3 linked regions of the Neodiprion lecontei genome follow. The protein of the gene in region 2 purifies or fractionates together with the protein of the main gene of each other region. This does not show direct contact. Links are inferred from orthologs where the notes say so. Each region holds a gene or a part of one and is shown on either strand. Other genes may lie near its edges.

Region 1 (7,849 bases), on a different chromosome or scaffold from region 2:
TCTTATTCCTTTCTCTGCTGTAGTGTTGTTTGCGTCGTCGCACCTGTGAAGCCTCAACTATCATGAGCTGGCTAACGTCTGTGTCACCTCCGCAATCAAACTGCTCCACTTCGTAGCGAAATAATTTTGCCGGAGGTTGATACTGTCTTTCCAGCATGCTTCTTTGTGTAAATGGTTAAAAGAAGAGACAAGGAGATAAGAAGACACCTAGTTAGGTCAAGAACGACAAGCCATTGCCCAAACCGAGATTTGACAAATACCTGTTATTTTCTTTTACGTAAGAATTAATCTGTTGCTTGGTAGGCTCGATGACCTGTAAAACGTGACACTCGCACCAGGCATCTTCGGTAAAACTGGCCTCGACCATTTCTCCTACAAAGTATCTGTCTCGTGCGAATTGATAAACATCCTCGACCATTTCATTAAGTGAAGTCCTGTTTGTTTTGCTCGCCAGGTATAAGATTGGAATTCGCAACTGCAATCAAGACCCAAACGTAATTTAAACCTCAGACACTGTTATCGAGATTCTGGTAATAATCTAAAACCAGGTTACGTAATGCAATACAATGCATTATGCGGCGAAGTCAAGATCAATTGTCAGATAAACAATTTTCAATTACTAGGTTATGTTGCAGTTATTTGTAAAACGTGTATAATCACAGACTGGATTTCCTCCGTTCGAGGCACATCTTTCATCGGAATATCATTATCAAGCTTCTATGTTCACACGAAAAGAAACACTCGGATTTAGTAAAGTCGTGGGGGTGTAAGAGAAAAAAAAAACCTAGCGATCGTGACTGAAAAAAAGTGGAATCTTGGGGCTTCGAAGAAGTTCGTTGCTGCCCAAGCAAAGGTATGTTAGAAGAATGTGTATGTTGCATTTGATGTGTATTACCTCCATGGGAAATTCCTTGAGACTCTTTCTCGCATTTTCCTCGCTGAGCAATGCCTCTTGGTAAGTGAAATTCGGCTTTCCTGTGATACTACAGGACCAGACGAGTGAGTTGCAGAGAATAATTCTTTCGCAGAATTCACTGAAAAGCAGGAGAAGACGTCGGAGACGTTACAGAACAAAATGCGGCGAGTGCGTTTGTCCGTAGGTGAAAATGATCGAGCTGTCAAACACTAACTTGTAATCTTTGAAGATCTCGTTGGTCGCCTCGCAGTGGAAAACCTCGTCGTCGTCGCGGAAATCGGAGGAGACGTGCAACTTGTGAAAAAGCTTCTTGCGTAGGAGAGGCATGACGACGCTGGCGCGAGCTGACCCGACTTGTTAATTCGTCACGAAACACTCTCTCCGCAGAAATCAATCTCAAGTGATCTACGTTCTGGCCGATTATACACGTCCCGCAGCCCCGCTTCGGCCGCCCGTCGCCCTTAAATCTCCACTTGGACGCACAACCGTCTTGCCGAGGACGCTACGCAACCCTCTAACTATCCTCGGGGATGACGAATAAGCGATTTTTCAATAAAAATGTACAAATTCATGACAAGGCGCGATTTAACGGTGTCTCGGAAAGCGCGCACACCTGGCAAGACTCACCGGATACCGCGTTTTGCGTCTGCGTCCCTCTTGAAACCGAAACGCCTGGGGGCCATTTGGCGGGAGAGACCATGGAGCACGAACTCAATGGGTGAATTGACAAAACTTGTCATAGTAATCGTTCACGTCAGGTTTGTTTTTTGTACCACTAGCGTCGCCAGCGTCCCTTTTGTACCGAATTGTCTCTGGCTGCAAGGATGCTAATTGTAAGATCGAATGATCGGTGATCTTGCGTTGTGATCTGTAGAAAGTTTTCACTACTGCCTTATAATCCGTCCAATACCTTCGGTGCATACGGAACATCAGTGCCATCTTACTTCAGGCAGCTATTTGGTTGCATGGACTTCGTGCTCCTTGTATAGTCCCCATGGGAGAAACGCTCTGCTATAATCATGGAGAATAAAATTTCGGCAACAATCGACCACCTTGTTTCTCATCTTTGACACTACGCGTACCGTGCAGTTTACGAATTAATTGTACAATACAGGCTTACAGAGATGGATCTCGAATAAGAGCAGAATAAACGGAAATTCACATTTCATGGATCTATATTTATACACAGATTCAACGCGAATTTCGATGTCAAAACTTCACTCCAACCATTCCTTGATGTAGTGACATTTCTTTGGCGTTATTTCTCCCACGTCGCAGCAGTTTTTTCTCACCTGAAAGCAAAATACAGTATACCTCAAAGATGCTCAACGATCATTCGTCGCTTCTCGTTTATTATACAACATTAAATATACCGGACAAACACCGCAAGGTGTTCTAATTAATCCTGGAGGGCTGAGCAACGGTTCGACCGCTCGGTACAAGTTGCTTCCGTCGCTTGACAGAGTTCTTTCCACTTTGCCGTCGTAGATAAGGGTATTCAAAATCATTTCCAGATCCTCCACGGAAAGCTTAACCTGCAATATTATCGTTTCATTTATTTAGTCAAAGTATTATCGAGGAGTAACAGCAAAAAGTTAGTGAAAGGTATCCCGTTGCCGTACCTTGCTTATTCCCAGATCGGAAATGAATTTCCAAACTTCTTTCGACGACGCAAAAGCTATATTTCTTGCACCGATAGGACCGTCCTTGCAGTTTTTTGTACTGTCTTTTTTTTGCTCCAAAAATCTGTAACACTGCTGGTTTAGAATATCGACGAATTCTGCCTCAAAGTCTTGATCCTGGTACCACGCGCCTCCGGTCACAGATCTGTCAGGCTCCAAGTTGTAAAGCATATATACCTTCTTCTTGCTAGCCGCTACCGACTTTACAGCTTTAATGAACTTCTTAGTTTCCAAACTTTTTAAAATTTTATTCAGCTGCGTCGGCATTAAATTGGATTTGAACCTGATGTCGCGTATCCATATCCCCTTGTTCCCAGCCTCTTCGATTATATTATAAACAACTTTCTCCTCGTTGTCTGCCCCTTTAACCGATTTAGCCTTGCTCGGATCTTTCAAACGGTAAAGAAGAGTTCCACCCTGCTTGAATAAGTCAAAGTATCCCTGAGCCAATAGCTTGTTTATCGCTGCCGCCTTCCGCGCCGGTGCCAGATCTGGAATCTCAGCAGATATGTCTTTATCCGAGATGCCCTTCGGCTTTGCTTGAGCCAAGGAGATAATCCTGAAATCAAAGCTGTACCTCTTACACTGTTGCACAAAAAATCTCGTTTAACAGGTTCCCTTCAATTTCATTATACAAAGTTAGAAAACTATGGAGCTTTGAAAGCGTAACAAACATTTGCTGCTATATCCGGTCTATTTGACAGTTAATTGTTATCTATTTATTACGTTATTAACGGTCTGTTTGACAGTTATTTGACAATTAATCTTAAAGCATCATACTTTTCTTCGATAAATTCTGGCGATTCACCCACATCGACAATTCTATTTATTTCTCGCTCACTAGAGAATTCTCCTCTGACATCCATTAGTATTTGATAATTAATCGTTGACTCAAAATCTTACGAACGAATTAGAAGCAATGCAATGAATTGCCATCGAACCTTGCAACGAACACGTGTGGCTGCGGCGACGAACCCACGTGACGTACGCCCCCTGTAGGAAAAGGGCTTACTATTGCCACTGATTTGGTAAAATACACAAGTCACGTGAACGATTTGTTCATGATAATCAATTTATTTCATTTACAGGAATTGAGGGGATAGCTAAAATCCGAGACTCAGTACTCTCGACATTTCGCCCACGTTGGACGCTCCATGCTATTCCTATTTTCATTTTTGTTCAATTAATAAATTCATAACTATTTTGAATTTTATGTGGAGAAATGCATGTTGCATGCTTGGGCATTATCAGGCGTTCTTGGTGTACGTTTGGTTGCATGTAATTGGGCGCTTTATAAAACACCTTTAATTACGCATATAATCAGGCGTAATGTCGTACAAACAAGTACCAACAGTTGCATTTAATTGATTATTAAACACTTTGCTCTTCTCTTTCCGAATAACAAAGAGGAACTACCCTACAATTACTACTTTACTCCCGCTTACACAGTTTGCAAATTTTTGATAAATTATGTAATATGCGTACATCGAATGAATAATCGTACAGATTGTGTCAGATCCCGGGACTTATGTGACACTGTCAAGTGATTGGAAACATAACCTTGAAATGGATGACTGTGAGGAAATTGAGCATTCAGTAGAGCTTTCCGAAAGAAATTGGAATCGAGTTATAAATAGAGCAATTAAGGTAAGAATTCTCTGGTAGTGAAATGACGAGAATTTCAATCAACATTACTTGATCACAGTCCATCAACTTTCTCAGGCCGGTTATAGGGAAGGAGTTGAAGAAGGAAAGAAATCAGTTTTCCAAGAAGGTTTTGACATCGGTTACAAAGACGCTTTCGAAACTGCCTTCGTATTAGGAAAATACAAGGGGCTGGCAACAGCCATGAGTAACGACTCTCAAACTCTACCAGCTACAGATGATGTACTTGAAAAGACAAGGCGAGGGGCTTGCTACGTCTGCAATGAAAGTACGAAGAGCAAAGTAAAGACAGATGATTTCGTTAAAATGCCGCTGCAGGATATAAGAAATGGTCAGAAGAAATATTCTACAAGGATACTAGAGACGCTGCAGCATCAATTTGACGAATTGACAAGCAAACACGTAACATGTATCAACAATGCAGTTTTGTAGCATTATGTCCTGTACCTGTAAAGTTAACCCAATCAATTAATAGTTGACAAAAGTTGGTTGAGTTAAAGAAAATTTATTTATTCGAATTTCGTATTATTACGATTGATAAAAAATACAAGGGAAAGCGAAAAATTAAATTATAAATATAATCCTTCAGGCGATCCTTCCTTCTTGCGGTACAACACACTCTCCTTGGATTTCTTGAAGTCGTCGCTGGTTACCTTCATACGGCGCTCTCGTAAAGCCATGAGACCAGCTTCGGTACAGATCGCCTATGGGAAAAGTTAACTATAACTTTCCATTTTTACCCATACAAAGAATCTTACTTTTACTGCAAAATAATCACCTTTATGTCAGCTCCGGATAGGTCATCTTTAGCCATGATGAGATCTGCCAGGTTTACATCTGGTGCCAATGTCATTCTACTTGTGTGAATGCTAAAGATTCTCCTCTTGGTTTTTTCATCTGGCAGGGGAAACTCGATCTTTCTATCGATACGTCCGGGTCGAATTAGTGCCGGATCCAAAGTTTCGATTCTATTAGTTGCCATCACTACTTTGACATCTCCACGACTGTCAAAGCCTGTCCATTTGAATAATTGATTCACATTAGCACTTTTGCACATAGTGCCGATAAGCGGTAAAACATCAGCACATCATCAAGCACTTGAAGATACAAATAGTTATTTTACTGACTCTCTGTCAGTATGGAGACAAAATCTTTTACTCACCGTCAAGTTGGTTTAGTAGCTCCAGCATAGTACGCTGGATTTCTCTTTCGCCTCCACTGTTGCTGTCATATCGTTTTGTACCAACAGCGTCAATTTCATCTATGAATACGATAGAAGGAGCATGTTCCTCAGCAACTCTGAATAGCTCTCTGACAAGTTTCGGGCCATCCCCTAGATACTTCTGGATCAATTCTGAACCAACAACACGCAGGAAAGTCGCAGATGTCTGATTGGCCACTGCTTTGGCCAGAAGAGTTTTACCCGTTCCCGGTAAACCGTAGAGTATAACACCCTTGGGGGGCTTGATTCCCATCTCTTCGTAATATTCCGGATGAGTGAGGGGCAATTCGACCGACTCTTTGATTTCCTGAATTTGTGTATCCAAACCTGGGAAAGAAATATGATGTCAGTGCATGCTTCTGAGAAGATATATGATACGTCGCTTGAAAAATACAAAAGCTCACCTCCGATATCGGCGTATGTTTCTTGCGGGGCTTTCTCGAGCTTCATCACTGTTACCATCGGATCCGTGTCATCGCCAAGGACGCCAACAACGGCGTGCACCTTGTGATTCAATAAAACAGAACATCCTGGCTCCAGCTGATCTTTGTCAACGAATGACAAAATCGACACGTAATGCTCGGACCCTACAGATGTAGAAACAATGGCGTGATTGTCGTCAATTATTTCCTCCAATGTCCCAACCGACATCGGCGTTCCTCTAAGATCGTCGACCTTGGATCTCTCCTCTTCATTTTTCTCTTCCTGCGGCTTAAGTCGCTCCTGATTTCTAATGAACTCCTCCTCCATCAACAAGTAATCCTTGATTCTTTCATACTTCAAGAGCTTCAGGCGACACCTGGTGTGGGGCGTGACTTGGGGCAATTTTGTCGCAGCGTCCGGTCCCTTGGTTCGTCGTTTCTTCTTTCCTACGCGCGTAGGAATTGGGGGCTCGTACTTCTTCTTCTTGTCTTTGTCATCCTTCTTGTCCCCTCCCGTACCTCCTGTTCCCGACTGATTCTGACCCTAATTTTAGAGCAAAAAGACACCTGGTTTTACATTCCGGTCACGTATGTCGTATAGACCCAAGAATTTGGAATAAGGTATTTCCAACAACTCTGTGTCAAAGCCAACCTCCGAAATATCGTCTCCCTCGTATTAAACGAAATTTTGACAAAAATCCGAAAAATACAACGACGCAGAGTTACGATTGATTACTTAATTTAGAAACTTGGTTTTGGGTTTGCGTTGAGACCTATGAAAATTAAACAAACGTTAGGTACGAACCATTTATCTCGGCAACTGACAAACACGAAATCACGAAGTCATCAACGAGACCGATGAACATAGGCGAAGCAGTCGTATGACAGAGAAATCGGACGGCCAACTCTCAGAGGCTAAAATTCTAGTTACAACCAGAGAGAACGATTGATCTGCCCGAGAGTTTGCCTGCGTACGCGTTCTTCAAAGTGACGTGGCCTCAAGTGACGGGTGTGGGAGATTCCAACATCATTCTTAGTGTTTCCTCATTTATTAAGAAAATTATGTACTAACCGGCCCTGAGGATTCTCTCGAAGCCGTTTCGTAAGATTTTTCGTGACAAGATTTCACTGTATTTTCAAAAGTGGCAGCTGTCAGGTAAGTTTCCTGTCATAACCTAAAACAATCGAACTACTCGCACGAAATTTGCGTTCATTTTCTCGATCAAGTGTAAACTGTATGCGGTAAGAAAATCAAGACCTGACTAGAATACGTAAATATTCATTGAAGAAGCCTTATTTCCTTACCCTGCAAGTACACTACATATTTGTCGTCCCCAGTTCGTCGCAATCCAATTTTATGAACTGGCCTCAAAACATCACCATCCCGGCTTCTGATTCTCTTGCATGCCTTCATTATAGGTCTTTGCTTAAACTGAGATAAAACCCAGAGCGATATGACGACATACGAAGAATTCATTCAGCAAAACGAGGATCGGGACGGAGTAAGGTTCACATGGAACGTGTGGCCATCATCACGAATCGAAGCTACACGGCTTGTGGTTCCATTGGGGACACTCTACCAGCCGATAAAAGAGCGCCTAGATCTCCCGCCTATTCAGTACGATCCAGTACTGTGCACAAGATCGACATGCAGGGCGATTTTGAATCCACTTTGCCAAGTAGATTACCGTGCCAAGCTCTGGGTCTGCAACTTCTGCTTCCAGAGGAATCCCTTCCCTCCCCAGTATGCAGCCATTTCGGAACAACATCAGCCTGCCGAATTGATACCGATGTTTTCTACCATCGAGTATACTATTACTAGAGCACAGTGTCTGCCACCGATATTCTTGCTTGTTGTGGATACGTGTCTTGACGAAGAAGAACTGGGGGCTCTGAAGGATTCGCTGCAGATGTCACTTTCCCTTCTCCCACCTAATGCACT
Region 2 (7,698 bases):
AGGTTGATAATCGACCTGAGTTTGTTCGTATCCTATTTCGGCACGTGCACCGTTTACTCGGTGATCATCGCCCAGAACATAAACCAAGTTATAGCGGTACACATGGGTGAGGGACTTGCGGAGCGTGGGATGATAGCAATATTGCTAGTGCCGTTCGTCCTACTTAGTTGGGTACCAAACCTCAAGTACCTAGCGCCGGTTTCCATGGTGGCGAACGCCTTCATGGTGGTGGGTCTCGGGATAACGTTCTATTACTTCGTCATGAACATGCACCCGCCATCGGAGGTACATATGGTTACGGAGACGGTATCGACTCTACCGGCGTTCTTCAGTATCTCCATATTCGCGATAGAAGCTATAGGTGAGAAAAAATTCATTCGCATACTTACATCTACGAAAGAATCTGTATTATATATATATACCGGAACGATCTCTTGAGACTTGAAAATGAACCGCGCATGCGCCAAATAATTCGATCTCATTGGTCGGCGAAATCTTCCCGCAGCGATATTCTTGTTTGCGATGCAGGCGGGCCAACGTACACAAAATGTGTACGTTTGAATTTTCAAAGAGCGTAAGCATTAAGTTCCGACCGTTCTTCGAAGAATCAGCTTTCCGACCCAATAACAAAAGCTTCGCAAACCTTTCCGAGTCACTGCCTCAATTATTTGAGATTATAACCTCGAAAATTCGTATAAACTACATCGCCGCCAGAAACAGTTTGATGGCTGAAACTCGGGATGGCCAGCCTGCACGAACAGCCGATAAAACTCGCGCATGCGCGGTTGATTTTCAAGTTTCAAGAGATTGTCCCGGGTATAATGTAGTGTAGTATGTAATATGATATATACTGTACGGTATACCTACACTAATGATTTCAGGTGTTGTAATGCCGCTTGAGAACAACATGAAAACGCCCCAGCAATTCATCGGTATTTGCGGAGTTATGAACCAGGGAATGTCAGCCGTAACTCTGATATACATGGTGATCGGTTTTATGGGGTATGCAGCGTACAGAGATGGAACCAAGGAAAACATCATAACGAATTTGAATCCAGAGGACATGTAAGGATTTTCAACACTCCGTTTCATCGCCTTCTCGAATTCGATTTGACCTGTCGAGCTGATCATTATAACTTATAATCGGGTATATTTTCAGCCTTGCTCAAGTTGTCAAAGTTCTGATCGCCCTCGCGGTTTACTGCACATTCGGACTGCAGTTCTACGTGTGCTTGGAAATCGCGTGGAACAGTATAAAGGAACGCTTCCTTAAGAAACCGCAAATCGCAAACTACCTTCTTCGCACAGGATTAGCAATGGCTGCTGGTTAGTGTGCAAATAATTAAGCGTTACGTCATTGTTCGGCGTTCTAAATCGATTGATTGCATATGGGGCATTCCACGTCAAATTAGCCGCCAATATATACCTCATCATCTTCAGTTTCAATCATTTTTTAGTACGATGTTCACAGTGACCCAAAAAGGTCTCGGAATTTTTCTCAAATTTTTTTTAGCCACCGCTGAAATTTTCAAAAAATTTAAAAATCAATTCCGAAAATTCCGTTTTTTTTTTAAATCTGAAAATGTAATTTTTAAGCACCACACCATAATGGAAACTCGGTATTTACTATTCTTTCGTAAGTTTTTAGTTTCTCCATTCCCCAATCGAAATAGATCACGGAATCATGAAAATAATGTGATACGGCAATCTAATTATTTATAGATCGAGGCGGGGGGGGATCCGACATGGAAAAACTTAAAACTTAGTAAATATTGAGATCCCATTATCGTGTGCTACTTAAAAATCACATTTCAAATCATAGGATCAGTGTGAATTTTCGAAGATTTTTAAAAATGGCTTGCAATTTTGTATAAATTTCACCAATGGCTAGAGAAAATCTAATAAAAAAAAAAAACTTGAGATCGTTTTGAATTGGTACAAGAACATCATACTAAAACATGATCAGAATCGAATCAGGTAGGGTACATGGGCTGCTAATTTGACATGGAATGCCCTATATACATGCCTCACGCCACCGTTGTTAATTTCAGTATTAGTGGCCGTCGCAGTACCGAAGATAATGCCGTTTGTCGGACTGATCGGCGCCCTGTGTTTCTCCATACTGGGGCTTATCATGCCACCAATCGTCGAACTGATTGTTCGATGGGACGAAGGATTTGGCCGAGGGTATTGGTTGATTGTTAAAACTATCCTCGTGGCTTCTTTTGGTCTGGTGGTTTTACTCTTTGGAACTTACACTGCCATACTAGACATCTTCAAGTAAATCATATCCGTATAACTGTTTAATTGAATTATGCGACGACGCCTTGCCTCGATTTACACTTTGTTAACTGTTCATAATTTTGCTACGAATATGTTACACGTGTTTTTGATAACAGTTCGTAAAATTTATTTTCCACTATTCTACTATCGCTATTTTTCAAGCTCTTTCACACTGTGCACACTTGCTTGTCGGCGGTAAACGAATCGTTGAGTGAAATCGTAACATTTTTTTTTTTGTCATCTATTATGCAAACATGAAATTGGGGCGGAAAAAGATTAATATTTAATATCAATTATTCGTCAACAAACTCTACCGTTAAATGTAAACGCGCAATTAATGAGAATTTCAAGCTCTTTTTTCAAATCCTATTGAAAAACAAAAAACAATTATTCTTAGATAAATTTATCTAAGACAGCCCCCATATTTGCCTCATCATCTACAGACCATCGCATCATCATTACAATCACATCAAAGTCGAAGGAATAGATTACCCATAGGAAAAAATTTTTGTATATCATAATAATGAAATATAGTATTTTTTTCACCCGTGATAGGTACTAGGACTGTTCGATCATACACGATCTGTTATGCGAATAATTCTAAATGAATCATTAGATTAGAGATTTCATCTATTTTTGTATTAGGAAGTTGAGTAAATAAATTATTATCATTAGGCGAAAAACAGGGGATGAAAATTAAATAGAAGGTAAATCATTGACAATTAGATGAATAATATTGTCGGTACTAATGCGAGGTTGTGCAAGGAAAATAGAAGAGACAATCCTAAGACTCAAGAGTTTTTGTACGAACTTCATTCAAGCAGTTATTTTTTAAATAATCAAGATACGATCTTCTACAATCGAGTTCGCAGAACGCGAACGGCGATTTAGTATAAAAATTGCAATATTGTTAGATAATAAACAAACAATTATGCTTTGTTTAGTTTCTAGTTGTTTCTGAATGAATTAAGGCCAAAATCGTCTTGATATTTTACCGAGGAGGTAGGGGGGGGGGGGAGAAAATGTGAAAATACCTTTATGGATTAGAAAGTATAATAAGGTTATTGAAGCGTTTGTTATTTTTTAAAAAAAGAAGAAAATAGAAAAAACCAATAAATAAATTTCTCGCGTTAGCAATACATGGAATTTTTATAAATTGTAAAGTTTTGAATTGATTCAATACCAAGTCATATTTTTGGTGTCTATTTCTAAAATAATCCCTATACGTTAGAAGTCTATTACTGTTATTTCTGCATCATAGTTTGATAATTATTTACAACTTATACGAATCAACTGATTAGTCTTCTAACAAATCCGGATTACAAAATTGAATGAAGATCTATTTCTTCTTTAAATAGAAAACTATATGTATGAAGATGTTACAACTAAGAATGTTTTACGATATTTGAATAGTTGATACTCGAAGAAACGACCGGTATAACCAATTGTAACCGATTCAAAGTATATGTAAGCTGAGCAATTTTTTTTTCAATAAAACAAAAAAAAGGACCTGTTTTCAATAACCTCGCATGTTTTTTATTTGCAATGAATTCGATTCTGGCATTCGTGATCATTTTGTTCAATGGAATACTTTCCACCTTTCTCGATGGACAAGAGGTGAACCGAATTCTTGTACAAAGTTATACTGTCTTTTGTAATAATCATTGTCCCAAATATTTCCTATGTGTTACTTTTCCAACGGAGCATAATTCAATAATTTTTCAATAAGATCGACGTGTCCAAGCAGCATGCGACGGCAACAGTATCTCTTCAGGCCGAGGGCATCCAAGGCATCACTGAAAAAAATTGAAGGCAGTTCTGAGTTTGGATACTCTAATTGAGAATTTACCGAAAGAATATTTTAATTATTTTCTACTTGGCGATTCGAAATTGTAGTATTGCATATATATTGAGTATCGAAAGACGTTGAACAATTTTCATTCAAGTTCTAAGGATAAATTTATTGTTGATGTTTTCGACACCGAATAGAATAGGTTATGTTCGTGCTCGCAAGTTGCGTCCTTACCCTTCCGTATATTCTGCTTGCAGTAAGCCAAGATAAGCTTCCCATTTGTTGCCAATCACTTTACCGCAGGTGAAACAACGCACTGGAATGATCATTCTGCAATAATATTCCTCGCGGAAACGATAAATCAAAAAATTGAAACCACACTTGACTCCACGCTGCTTAACCTCGTGCGATTTTGTTTCAGCTCTGGACCACGCTCTGGACCATAAACTGTACAGCTCTATGAGTGACAATGTTGACGGTATCAGTCGGTACGTCAGAACAAGAGTTACCAATTGGACGATTTACCTTCGCTCCTGGATGAACTGATCTGTGATTCCGTTACCCGTCGGTAAATCAAGTCTTATAATTTTTACGCAAGATGGCGAAACCACGCAATCAATCTCAATTCTTTGACCGGCATTCGTGATGAAATCCGAATTTGAATATGGAACCGGCCCGTATTTGAAACCTAGTTTTTGAATGACTTTGAACTTCATTAAATTGGTAATTCGAAAGTTACGTGTATTTAAGCATAAAAATGAATTTAAGATTATGTGACTTAGAAGACCTTTGTAATGGCGTTCTAGCTCAAAATTTCACATTAATGTCTCGTGGGAAGTTCATTTTTATGAAACATTTTTATTTTTTTTTTTGAATAATCTGGTAACGTGAATGCATGATATTCCATAAAGAGGCAATTATTCGTTAAACGAATATATAATAGAACGCTCAGGATAGAATGTCGTGAATAATTATGAAAAAAAGTTCGATACTTTCGGAGCAGCCATATCTGCAGTATATCATGTGCGCGTGATATCTCAATTTAACGATTCCTCCACTAGGCGGAATTGTTTACCATAAATTGACACTTCTTTTACATCCCCCGCTCGGCCGTTGTAATAACAACGGAAGACTGTAACTATGCGGGTTATATTAAACAATTTGAGACTCGAGCTCGATTTATAAACATCTGGCACTGCGGGGAATTCCAGTATACCACACATTCACCGTATTATACATCAGGCTCGGTTGCTCTGCTGCGGCTAGACTGCCATATACCAATGGGTTATTTTTTGAGCGAGCTACCGCCTCTGCACCCACTAAACCCTAGGAATTTCCCGTACCTAGTTCTCATCGTAATTCAAGCCGTTCCGATGACCGTCGCTTACGGGCACGTTGTCCCGCAGGCTAGAGTAATTAAGGGGTTATACCTAGTCGAGATTTATCAAAAATCGATTTTTTAAAATTTCAATTTCGTAATGTAGACATATTCAAGTGTATACACAGAAAATTTCTTGTCGACCCGAGAAATATTCTCGATGTTACGCGCACGTTTGCAAAGGCGTCTCGGAGCGTTTGAAAGTGCTTTTGAAACTATGAACGCCTTTTTCTCAAAACTATGTTTTCAAAGTCGGTGAGCAAGGTTTCTCGAAAACGGCTGATAAGATCGGTCTCAAATTTTTACACAAGCTTTGTGAATATATCTTTCAGTCTTTAATCGAAGCCTTTTCTCGTTAATAAATATTTGCCATCTTATGAAGAAATTAAGGCGAAATTTTTTATGGAAAATGCATTTGTTATTTGTTTGAGAAGCCGCCGTGTTGTTAGCAATTAATATTTTGTTTATTCCTCCGATCAAAGACTAGATAATACCTTATATTAACTGAGTCTTTTTTGTTTTTTCATTTCCGACGATTCAGTCCAGAGATATCTTGCTCGTCGAAAGACACCATTTTTACGTGCTGCTCTCGCGGATCGGCTATAGCAGCTTTAAAAATCATTACGTTTACCAATAAAAAATATCAGAATGAATTTCAACGTTACCCCAATATGTATATAAATTTGTATGTTAACAAAATTGAAATGTCTCTTGATGCAAAATCCTTGAAAAATCGCTCCTTTCCGGCCTCCTGCGACTGGTTATAACCCCTTAACGAACCATCCTCCAGCATGTGAAATGTGCAGCGACAAAAATGTTGAACAGTATACCCAGAGAGTTGATGGCTCGGTGGGAAAAGGCAATAATTATAACGCGGTAGTCATACGCGTCAACGTCCCTACGGACGGTTCCCCCAAGTACAGGGAACATCGCGGGCTCTGCAGCGCTGCTAACTACGCTACGCACACTCTCCCTCTCTCAGCAACGGTTCTGTTATTCTATCTCACGTACGCGGCTTTCTCACAACCACCGGCGCACATCCGATGGAATATAAGTTTTAAGGCGTGTTTTGATAGCGTCAGGGTGTGTCTGCCGGGAGCCAGGGGATTCCTACCTAATGGATTGCCGCCGCCGCCGCCGCCGCCGCCGCCGTCTCACCGACTCCGCAACCGTCTTCCTCGCGACGACGACGTTGCAACTTAGAAAGCTCAAGTATTATACTTATAGGGTGCCTTATACCGGCCGAAGACCCTGCGGTTGTTTGTGCTTTCGCAATGTGTGTTCGATAAATCGGCCATACGCTCTTTACCAACCATCATCACCAAAGCTGGAGGAAAGCACTTTCACGTCCGAAAGCTTCGTCATGGTTGCAGAATTGCAAGATTACCGCTCCAATCTCTAAGCAACTGCATATAGGTACCATTATGGGCTTCCAAGATTGCTCGAGCATTCCAAGAAGTAGCCCATTGTGATTTGGGCGCATTTTGATTGGTACGAAGCGGTCTTGATATCTTTCAGATTTTCAAGGGTCAAGTATAATCTCGCAGGATCGCCATTCGAGCGGCTGGGCTCAACCAACGAGCCGGGCGAAGACGGGGGCCGTCTTCGAGACGGAGATATAGTGGTCCGCTTTTTGAAGCCAACACAAATATTGTTTCACATAAATACGCGTCAGCGCGTAGCTTGACTTGGAAGCTCCGTATTACCCACCCCGTGTCGTGTGTTGGTTACATACGTGTGCCCACGTGTACAGAGTGCGCCAGTAGATACCGCATAACATTAAGCCCTAAATATTCGTGCTCGCGGGCGCCGTCGGCGCGTATATCCCTTCGATCCATCCGCACTTTTCGGGTATCCCTCAAACTCAAACCGGCCGCGGAGCTTCACCGCCATATCGTATTCGAGGAATTCAATTCCAAGAATTTTCATCGCCCGTATAATTTGGTAGGTAGTTAGACGTGATAATGTCTAACTACTTCTCATTTTCTCTCAACCTAGCTGAAGAGCCTCACCGCGATATCATATTCGAAGAATTCAGTTCCACGATTTTTCACCACCGTTATAATTTTCTAAGTAGTTAGACGTAACAATTAATGTCTAACTACTTATAACGTTCCGGATACCTCAATCGGTTGGTTAAGACCGAACGCGTCTGCACAACTGTGACCTAACTCGTTCCATTGGTTTCCTTCGTGATGCTTTCCTCCACAAATCCTGAGTTAACGATTGACGGCTTGACAGCTTC
Region 3 (6,748 bases), on a different chromosome or scaffold from region 2:
AATAATAATAGCGGATAGCTCGACATGAGTCGTTAAAAAAAATAAGTTTGACATTGGGCAAATGTGATTGTACATTATCTATGTCAAGTATGACAATATTTAGCTAGCTCACGAGTTTATAAATTATTTAAATAGCGAATGCTATAAGAAAAATGAAAGAGTCGTCAGCAGTTGATATAGCAATGTAAATGATACAATGATTTTCTCAAACTGTACTGTACTATATTATGCCAAACAAAAGACACTATAATTGTATTTTCTTGAACCAGTGTATGTTTATTTGCAGCTTAATTAATAATATCTATAGTGATCTTGTAAAGGCTCCTACATATGTAGCTAGTTTTAAAAATATTCTGATCGCATTGACATCTACACTGACACCTAATCAGTCAATGAGCAATATCATACTGGTTTTAAAACTGACACATAACTAATGAATTTGAGCAAAAATAAGCGCGATTATTATTATTGTTATCGATTACGAATAAATGTTGCTACTTGATTTTACTATTAGCATAATTGTTCAAAGCTGCAAAATAAATATTGAATAAAAGACCACAATGATAATACCTATGCACTACACTCCGAACATTTTGCTAATGCCGAGCCGATCCAGTTCATTATTATATTATTCAGAAATAAACGATATCATCAACTGTGTAATCATTTTGTGCATTGTAAATTGATTAGCTCTCGAACCCCTGTTTCAATATGCATTGGAAAGTAAATAATCTTGATTTATGGAATTCGTTTCAATAATTCAAACTGACAAACAATACAACGCGGTTACGGAAATATATTAGCCTGCAACGCACACAGAGATTTTCATATTTGTCATTCTCTAAAAAATTTTTATGTATTTGATATCATTTTCTATCCAGCTTTTGTTATTCAGCACGAATTGGAGGAAACAAATTGACAGAATATTTTCTTTGTTTAGACTGTATTTTAAAGAAAAAAATTTTAACATAAATATTTGTAGTTTTTTATAACAATGATTTCTGAAAACAAAATCATAGTATCATGGAAATGTAATTTTCGCTATTTCTCACAATCGAGTTCATACATTCATCAATGTTTATCATCACAATCTACTAACTGGAAGCTTTTCAAAACTTGAACAGTTTCGAATTCAGCGCTTCCTTTACGAATTATAGAATATCCGCCAGGCTGAGATAAATCGACAACAGTAGACCCAGCTCTTGCCAATCCATTGCCTGTGACTCTTTCATCTGGATAAAAAACACCTCCCAAATGCGACCACAATGCCGAAAATTCTTCCGGGTGTATCGTGCTCGGCTTGTTGCTCTCATTGGCACTTGTTAAAGCCAACGGCTCCCTCAGTCTTTTAGAAATATCTCTGATAAATTTTGCATCGGGAATTCTTATTCCCACATTTTGCACATTAGGATTAAATAGCGGGTTCAGCTTTGGTGTACGTTTTAAAACTAACGTCACAGGTCCAGGAAATAACGCTTCCAACAATCCATCTGGCAGAGAATCGACGATACCCCAATATTTTACATCCACAATTTCACCGACACAAATTGCCAGCGGTTTACAAGGATCTCGTTGCTTAATTTCATACAACTTTTTAACAGATTCATTACTTTGAGCCAATCCTGCCAAGCCATAGACGGTATCCGTGGGCAACGCTATGACGTGTTTATCTTGAAGCAAGCGAACGGCCATAGCCACATTCTTTGATCCATAAGCAAACCCGATACCTGAAATACCGGGGTGTAGATTTTTTAGCTGCGTCTCGAGCGACCTCAATGTTTGTTTCACTGGACCCATGGTTTTTTTCCTTACTTCATCAGAACTCATCGTTGGTCTGCTGCGAAATAATTTCAACATTCTTCTTGATTATGACAGTAAATTGATCGACGAGTCCTGAAAATTTTCAGTCTTATCTCTACGTGAATAGTTGTATAAGAATCTCTGGTAAAATAACCATTAAAATGTTCTGTACTCAAATTCTCATTAAAATAATGATGTACACAGATTTGAATTGTAGAAGTGATTGCTCAATATTTATCGCCTCCAAAAACCAATGAAATTAAAGACGTACAATTAATCTCGCCAATTGTGACTACACTGTGGATTGCAGCATCTGTAAAATGTGGTCATTGGCTCGTCGGCAGATCTTGTCTGTATCTGCATGAAGTAGGCCCGAGAATGCGAGCATTTAGGGCAGCGTTCATCTGTCGCATCGACGTTTTCCCACGCAGCGCTGCCACCTAAAACGTCGTCTACTTCCTTGAGCTTTGGATAAGTCCGACTTGTTATTCTTTGCGATATATTAAAAATGTAAGGGCAGGTATTGCACGCAAATCGGTAATTCGCCACTCCCGATTCGACATGTAAAATATTTCCACAGGTTGGACAAAATAACAGCATATCACATCTGAAAAATGGGAATTTAGGAAATAAGAAGTTCGCATACAGGGAGGTTAGGACTGTAGAAATTCGATGAATTATTTGTCCACAAAGGCAAAATGATGTAACAATGAATTATGTTTAAACTTACCTATTTAAATTGTATACCACACGCGAAATTATTCACTTTTTTTGCATGTTATTACTGGATTACTAACAGACACGTGATAAACGACAGAACGAAAATTCTTTGAGTGATGCGACGATGCGACGGCGCCGTGTGTATAATGGACGTGGGGGAAATCCACGAGGTGATCGACTTAACTCGTCTTCAAGACCGTCAGGAATCAAGTCCACGCGCAAAAGGCGCGGTTAAATTCGAAAGTTATTAGGTAACATAAAATATTGGCTATCAAGATGAAAAACAATTTTCATGGATATGTGCGCTGTCAGAATACGTGAAAAACGACGCACAAAGGGCGCGATTTGTGTACATAATAATTGAGAATGGTTATTTGTGTAGCTGTGAAATAAATCACTCGAAACAATGCCATCATTGTTCAAACTTATATTTCACGGATTCTTGACAGTATCATGTACGAAAATGTTTGAGGGGTCCTCCAATAATACGTAACGCTCGAATGGAGGCTGGATCCTCAAAAATAACGTCATGCAATATTAGAATGGCCTATCAGTAAGCCTAATTCGTCAAAGCCATATCAACCATTCAAATGTCCAAGAGATCAAGTAAAAACTTATTATGGCAAAATATACATTGATGGGATTAAAAAAATCTTAGAAATAGTGAACTTTCAAATAAGTTTCTCTCGAATAATTTTTTATCGTGACAGACAATTTACAGACAACTTGTATGCATGTTATTTACGAATTAGACAACCTGTCGGACATTCGTAAAATTATAGTTGGCATACAGTCAACGGCTATCAACTTCAAATGTGCATGTTTTGTCTCTGTTAAGGGGAGAATACGGTGAAATTTTGATAATATCAAGTTTTTGATTTTTGAAACAGATAAACAAAAGGTGATCGAAAATTCCTTCCAGCAGAATTTAGATTATGGTAGTATGTGTCCAGAGAAAAATTTTTAATCACCTGCGATGAAAGTGTATGCGCAAGGAACTTTTGGGAGTGTTACGCTGGAAATTTTCTGCCAAAAGTTCCTTGCACATAGACTTTCATCGCAGGAGATTAAAAAATTTTTTCTGCACACATGCTACCGTAATCTAAATTTTGTTAGGTGGAATTTTCGATCACATTTTTTTGAGCTGTTTTAAAAATCTAAAACACCATATTATCAAAATTTTACCACAGTCCCCCCTTAAATTAGTGGACTTGGTTTTTGACCAGCGATTACTCAAATACAAGTCGCCTATGCTCTACTCGAGTAATCATATTTATCGTGTTCTTCAGGTTTTTATTTCAGGTCAAACCTTGAACAAAGATGATTATACTTACTGATTGAATACCAAGATTCGCGTAGTCAAGTACCGAATTTGCATTGGCTTTCAAATCGCAGATGTGAATTAAATACACTGTGGTTCAAATGAATAAGCTTCATCCGTGGTTCAAAAATAACGTGTAAATTCATACACCTACTACAGAATGACCTGACGCGATTCTACTTGAGAGATGTACATATATACATACATGCATGCATACACACATACATACATACGTACGTACATACATACGTACATACATCCATAAACAAGTGCGAGACTTACCCATTGCCAATCGCCTACACCATGTCAGCCCTCATTGCTCAACTCCACATTTACGACCATACCAGGTTTTCCAGAGATTCGAATCCACAGTTAATTCTCGCAGTTTTTTCACTTTCACTATTTCACTGTTTATAACGTGTCAGAGGCTTGATTGCAATTGTTTCGAACGCTTCAACAAGTCTGGTTTACTATCACTTACACGTTAGATTGCGAAAAACGTAACAGCAAATTCGAACAGTCGCACGAATAAATTTGTGAAAAAAAAGTTGACACTGAATATAGTCACGAACCGATTACACGGAGCACGAAACGAATGAAATGATATTATACTATTGAAAACCAATTTCAGCTCGTAAGATTAGATCACTGCACTGCGTTGATTCTAACGGCTTAACTTATTTTCGATCGTGAGTATGAAAAAATAAAACAAGCAACGACTACCAAACAACGCAGTCGTTTGTTTTGGCCATGTAAAACTAGAGGTTGAATTCATAACATGCGAATTTCAGTTTAGGCTGCACGTATCGAGTAAACCAAGAATAATTTCATTTATCTACGACTCTTATTTCAGCAGACACAGAAAAACTCAAATATATATTTGATTTAACACAAGGCACAGTCGAATTAACATCCGCGACGCGCACGTCCGAACTTGACGAAATTCTACCGCCGACTGTCAATTGTCGTTCGACTCGCCGATTAGTGCCAAGATGGCCGCCACTCGGAAATACTCTGAAGTTCGTGCATGTGCTAATATTCCCGCGTAGTTTAAATTGGAGAGTAATACGAATGCGTTATAAACGCATGTGCAAATACCTAAATGCAATGAACTAGTTGACGGAATATTCAATAATTCGTAAGTTTCTAAAATTATCATTGCCACTTTATTCAATCAAATTTTATAATAAAACAAAATTATTTTTTACTAGAGAATTTACAAACGACGGAAAATATAACATTCCGCTGGTAGCTATAAATGTATGCACGTATTATACAATTACATTTTAGGTATACTTCAAACTATACCCATGATACAGTTGCATAAGTATTACTGAAATAATATTACGATGGCTTCATGATAGAAAAAAACAACTCTCTTCCTATAAGATCCTAAATTAAATAGTCTTCAAGTATTATATAGAATATGGATAAAGGTATCGACTTCTTTATGCGAAATAAGAACAGCACTATCACGGTTCATGTTGACACAACTTTCATCATAATGTATTTCCATTGTCAGTATAATTTTACTTTTTTTTTTTCTTTTCATAAATAGTTATTGAGATTATTCGTGCAACGCGAATATTATTAAGGTAACATGTTTATTAAAAAATTTGTTACAGGGCATGGAAATAGATTTTAGCAAACGCGCTTTCCACCATAATAATCAAACTTAAGCTATTTCATTAATGAACAATGGAATTTATAACGAGACATTTTTCGTTGAGATCTTCAATTATGGATGCTGATTTTTCACCCGGATCTCGATTAGATTTTCCACCATTAGAATTACGTCTTCTGCTCTGTTATAAAGTATAGCGTGACTCTTAACTCGTATTATTTACATATAAAGCATTAAAAATATACTCGAATCATCTGTACTGAGTATTATATAATAATTGCAGTGTTCAAGTTTACTGCATGTTTTTTCATCCATTTTTTCAGTTTAATTCATTTATTCACTCTGAGTTTGACAGACTAAGTTTCATTGCTCAGTTTATAATTCACAATACAGGTTCGAGGATTTAAATTAGACGACTTTGATTTGTAACACAGAGCAGTACCACAAAATGATATCAATTGCTTACTTGTATTAAACGTCCGATCAGTCTGTCTCGTCAAAATGAAGAATATCTATCAGTACAATGGTTATCTTTTACGTTTCACATTAGTATGATTCACTTTGCTACAATAACTGCATAGTAATGATTTATTTTTTTGACTACAACATTAATATAGTAATATATAAATGTATATTACTCCAAATTTGTTTTGTAACGTTTGACTTTGACCGTAAAAGAGTGAGTTTTATCTGCGGTAAGCTGTTTCTTTCTAGTTATCAAGTGGTACAATTAGTTTCTGAGTAATTAGGTAATTAAGTTAATAAATCACTGAGCTTCAATATATTTTTATCTGATCGGACCCGACAAAGATGGCATGGATATCAAAGATGAAGGGCCTGAACTCAAGTTGAGCTTATCCAACTCTTCATCGGCCTTGTTGTTCTTCAGATCTTGCTGGGTGTAGAGGAAATTATTCCATTCGTCGATTCGTGGATGAGCGAAATTCTGTAAAACGTCAAAAGCATAGATGTAACAATCCTGACTACAGCGAAGTTAAAATTAGCAAAATATCATGGCAAAATTGAGATAAGATTTTTCAAAATACAACTGAATATAATGATAGACATCGTGTTATACTGCAAACCGTACCTCAGCTACATCGTAAACCCATATTTTCCCAGTATCATCGCCCACAGTAACATGCAGTCCGCTTGGCGTCCAAGAGACTGTGTTTAAAGCAGGACATCCATCAACGATTACGCTCGCTGCTGGAACCTCTGTATCCTGATTTAAATTCCATAAATCTAAACGACCAGATCCATCAACAGCTGCAAATAGAGCA

Evidence for each region.
Region 1: the proteins of DNA-directed RNA polymerases I, II, and III subunit RPABC5 (region 2) and probable DNA-directed RNA polymerase III subunit RPC6 purify together in Homo sapiens (co-immunoprecipitation; 3 studies listed by BioGRID and IntAct, with this or other methods). This does not show direct contact. The link is inferred for Neodiprion lecontei from reciprocal best matches to the Homo sapiens genes POLR2L and POLR3F.
Region 3: the proteins of DNA-directed RNA polymerases I, II, and III subunit RPABC5 (region 2) and DNA-directed RNA polymerase III subunit RPC10 purify together in Homo sapiens (affinity purification with mass spectrometry; 3 studies listed by BioGRID and IntAct, with this or other methods). This does not show direct contact. The link is inferred for Neodiprion lecontei from reciprocal best matches to the Homo sapiens genes POLR2L and POLR3K.

The regions. Positions count from the first base shown.
Region 1 is NC_060266.1:590,490-598,338, reverse strand, and holds probable DNA-directed RNA polymerase III subunit RPC6, read right to left. Parts: upstream 3,548-7,849; 5' UTR 3,465-3,547; coding exon 3,379-3,464; intron 3,158-3,378; coding exon 2,539-3,157; intron 2,452-2,538; coding exon 2,290-2,451; intron 2,209-2,289; coding exon 2,134-2,208; 3' UTR 2,074-2,133; downstream 1-2,073. Other genes in the region: bromodomain adjacent to zinc finger domain protein 1A, read right to left, coding at 1-161, 261-475, 896-1,034, 1,131-1,243; uncharacterized protein LOC107216885, read left to right, coding at 4,165-4,245, 4,321-4,695; 26S proteasome regulatory subunit 4, read right to left, coding at 4,833-4,967, 5,042-5,277, 5,426-5,812, 5,890-6,451, 6,713-6,715; protein transport protein Sec23A, read left to right, coding at 7,362-7,849. UniProt on the Homo sapiens protein: DNA-dependent RNA polymerase catalyzes the transcription of DNA into RNA using the four ribonucleoside triphosphates as substrates.
Region 2 is NC_060261.1:2,107,942-2,115,639, reverse strand, and holds DNA-directed RNA polymerases I, II, and III subunit RPABC5, read right to left. Parts: upstream 4,512-7,698; 5' UTR 4,405-4,511; coding exon 4,310-4,404; intron 4,080-4,309; coding exon 3,971-4,079; 3' UTR 2,836-3,970; downstream 1-2,835. Other genes in the region: proton-coupled amino acid transporter-like protein pathetic, read left to right, coding at 3-361, 882-1,065, 1,160-1,326, 2,052-2,284. UniProt on the Homo sapiens protein: DNA-dependent RNA polymerase catalyzes the transcription of DNA into RNA using the four ribonucleoside triphosphates as substrates.
Region 3 is NC_060260.1:9,404,345-9,411,092, forward strand, and holds DNA-directed RNA polymerase III subunit RPC10, read right to left. Parts: upstream 2,678-6,748; 5' UTR 2,531-2,677; intron 2,408-2,530; 5' UTR 2,401-2,407; coding exon 2,074-2,400; downstream 1-2,073. Other genes in the region: yrdC domain-containing protein, mitochondrial, read right to left, coding at 1,072-1,827; cytoplasmic dynein 1 intermediate chain, read right to left, coding at 6,253-6,411, 6,556-6,748. UniProt on the Homo sapiens protein: Core component of RNA polymerase III (Pol III) which synthesizes small non-coding RNAs using the four ribonucleoside triphosphates as substrates. Can mediate Pol I proofreading of the nascent RNA transcript.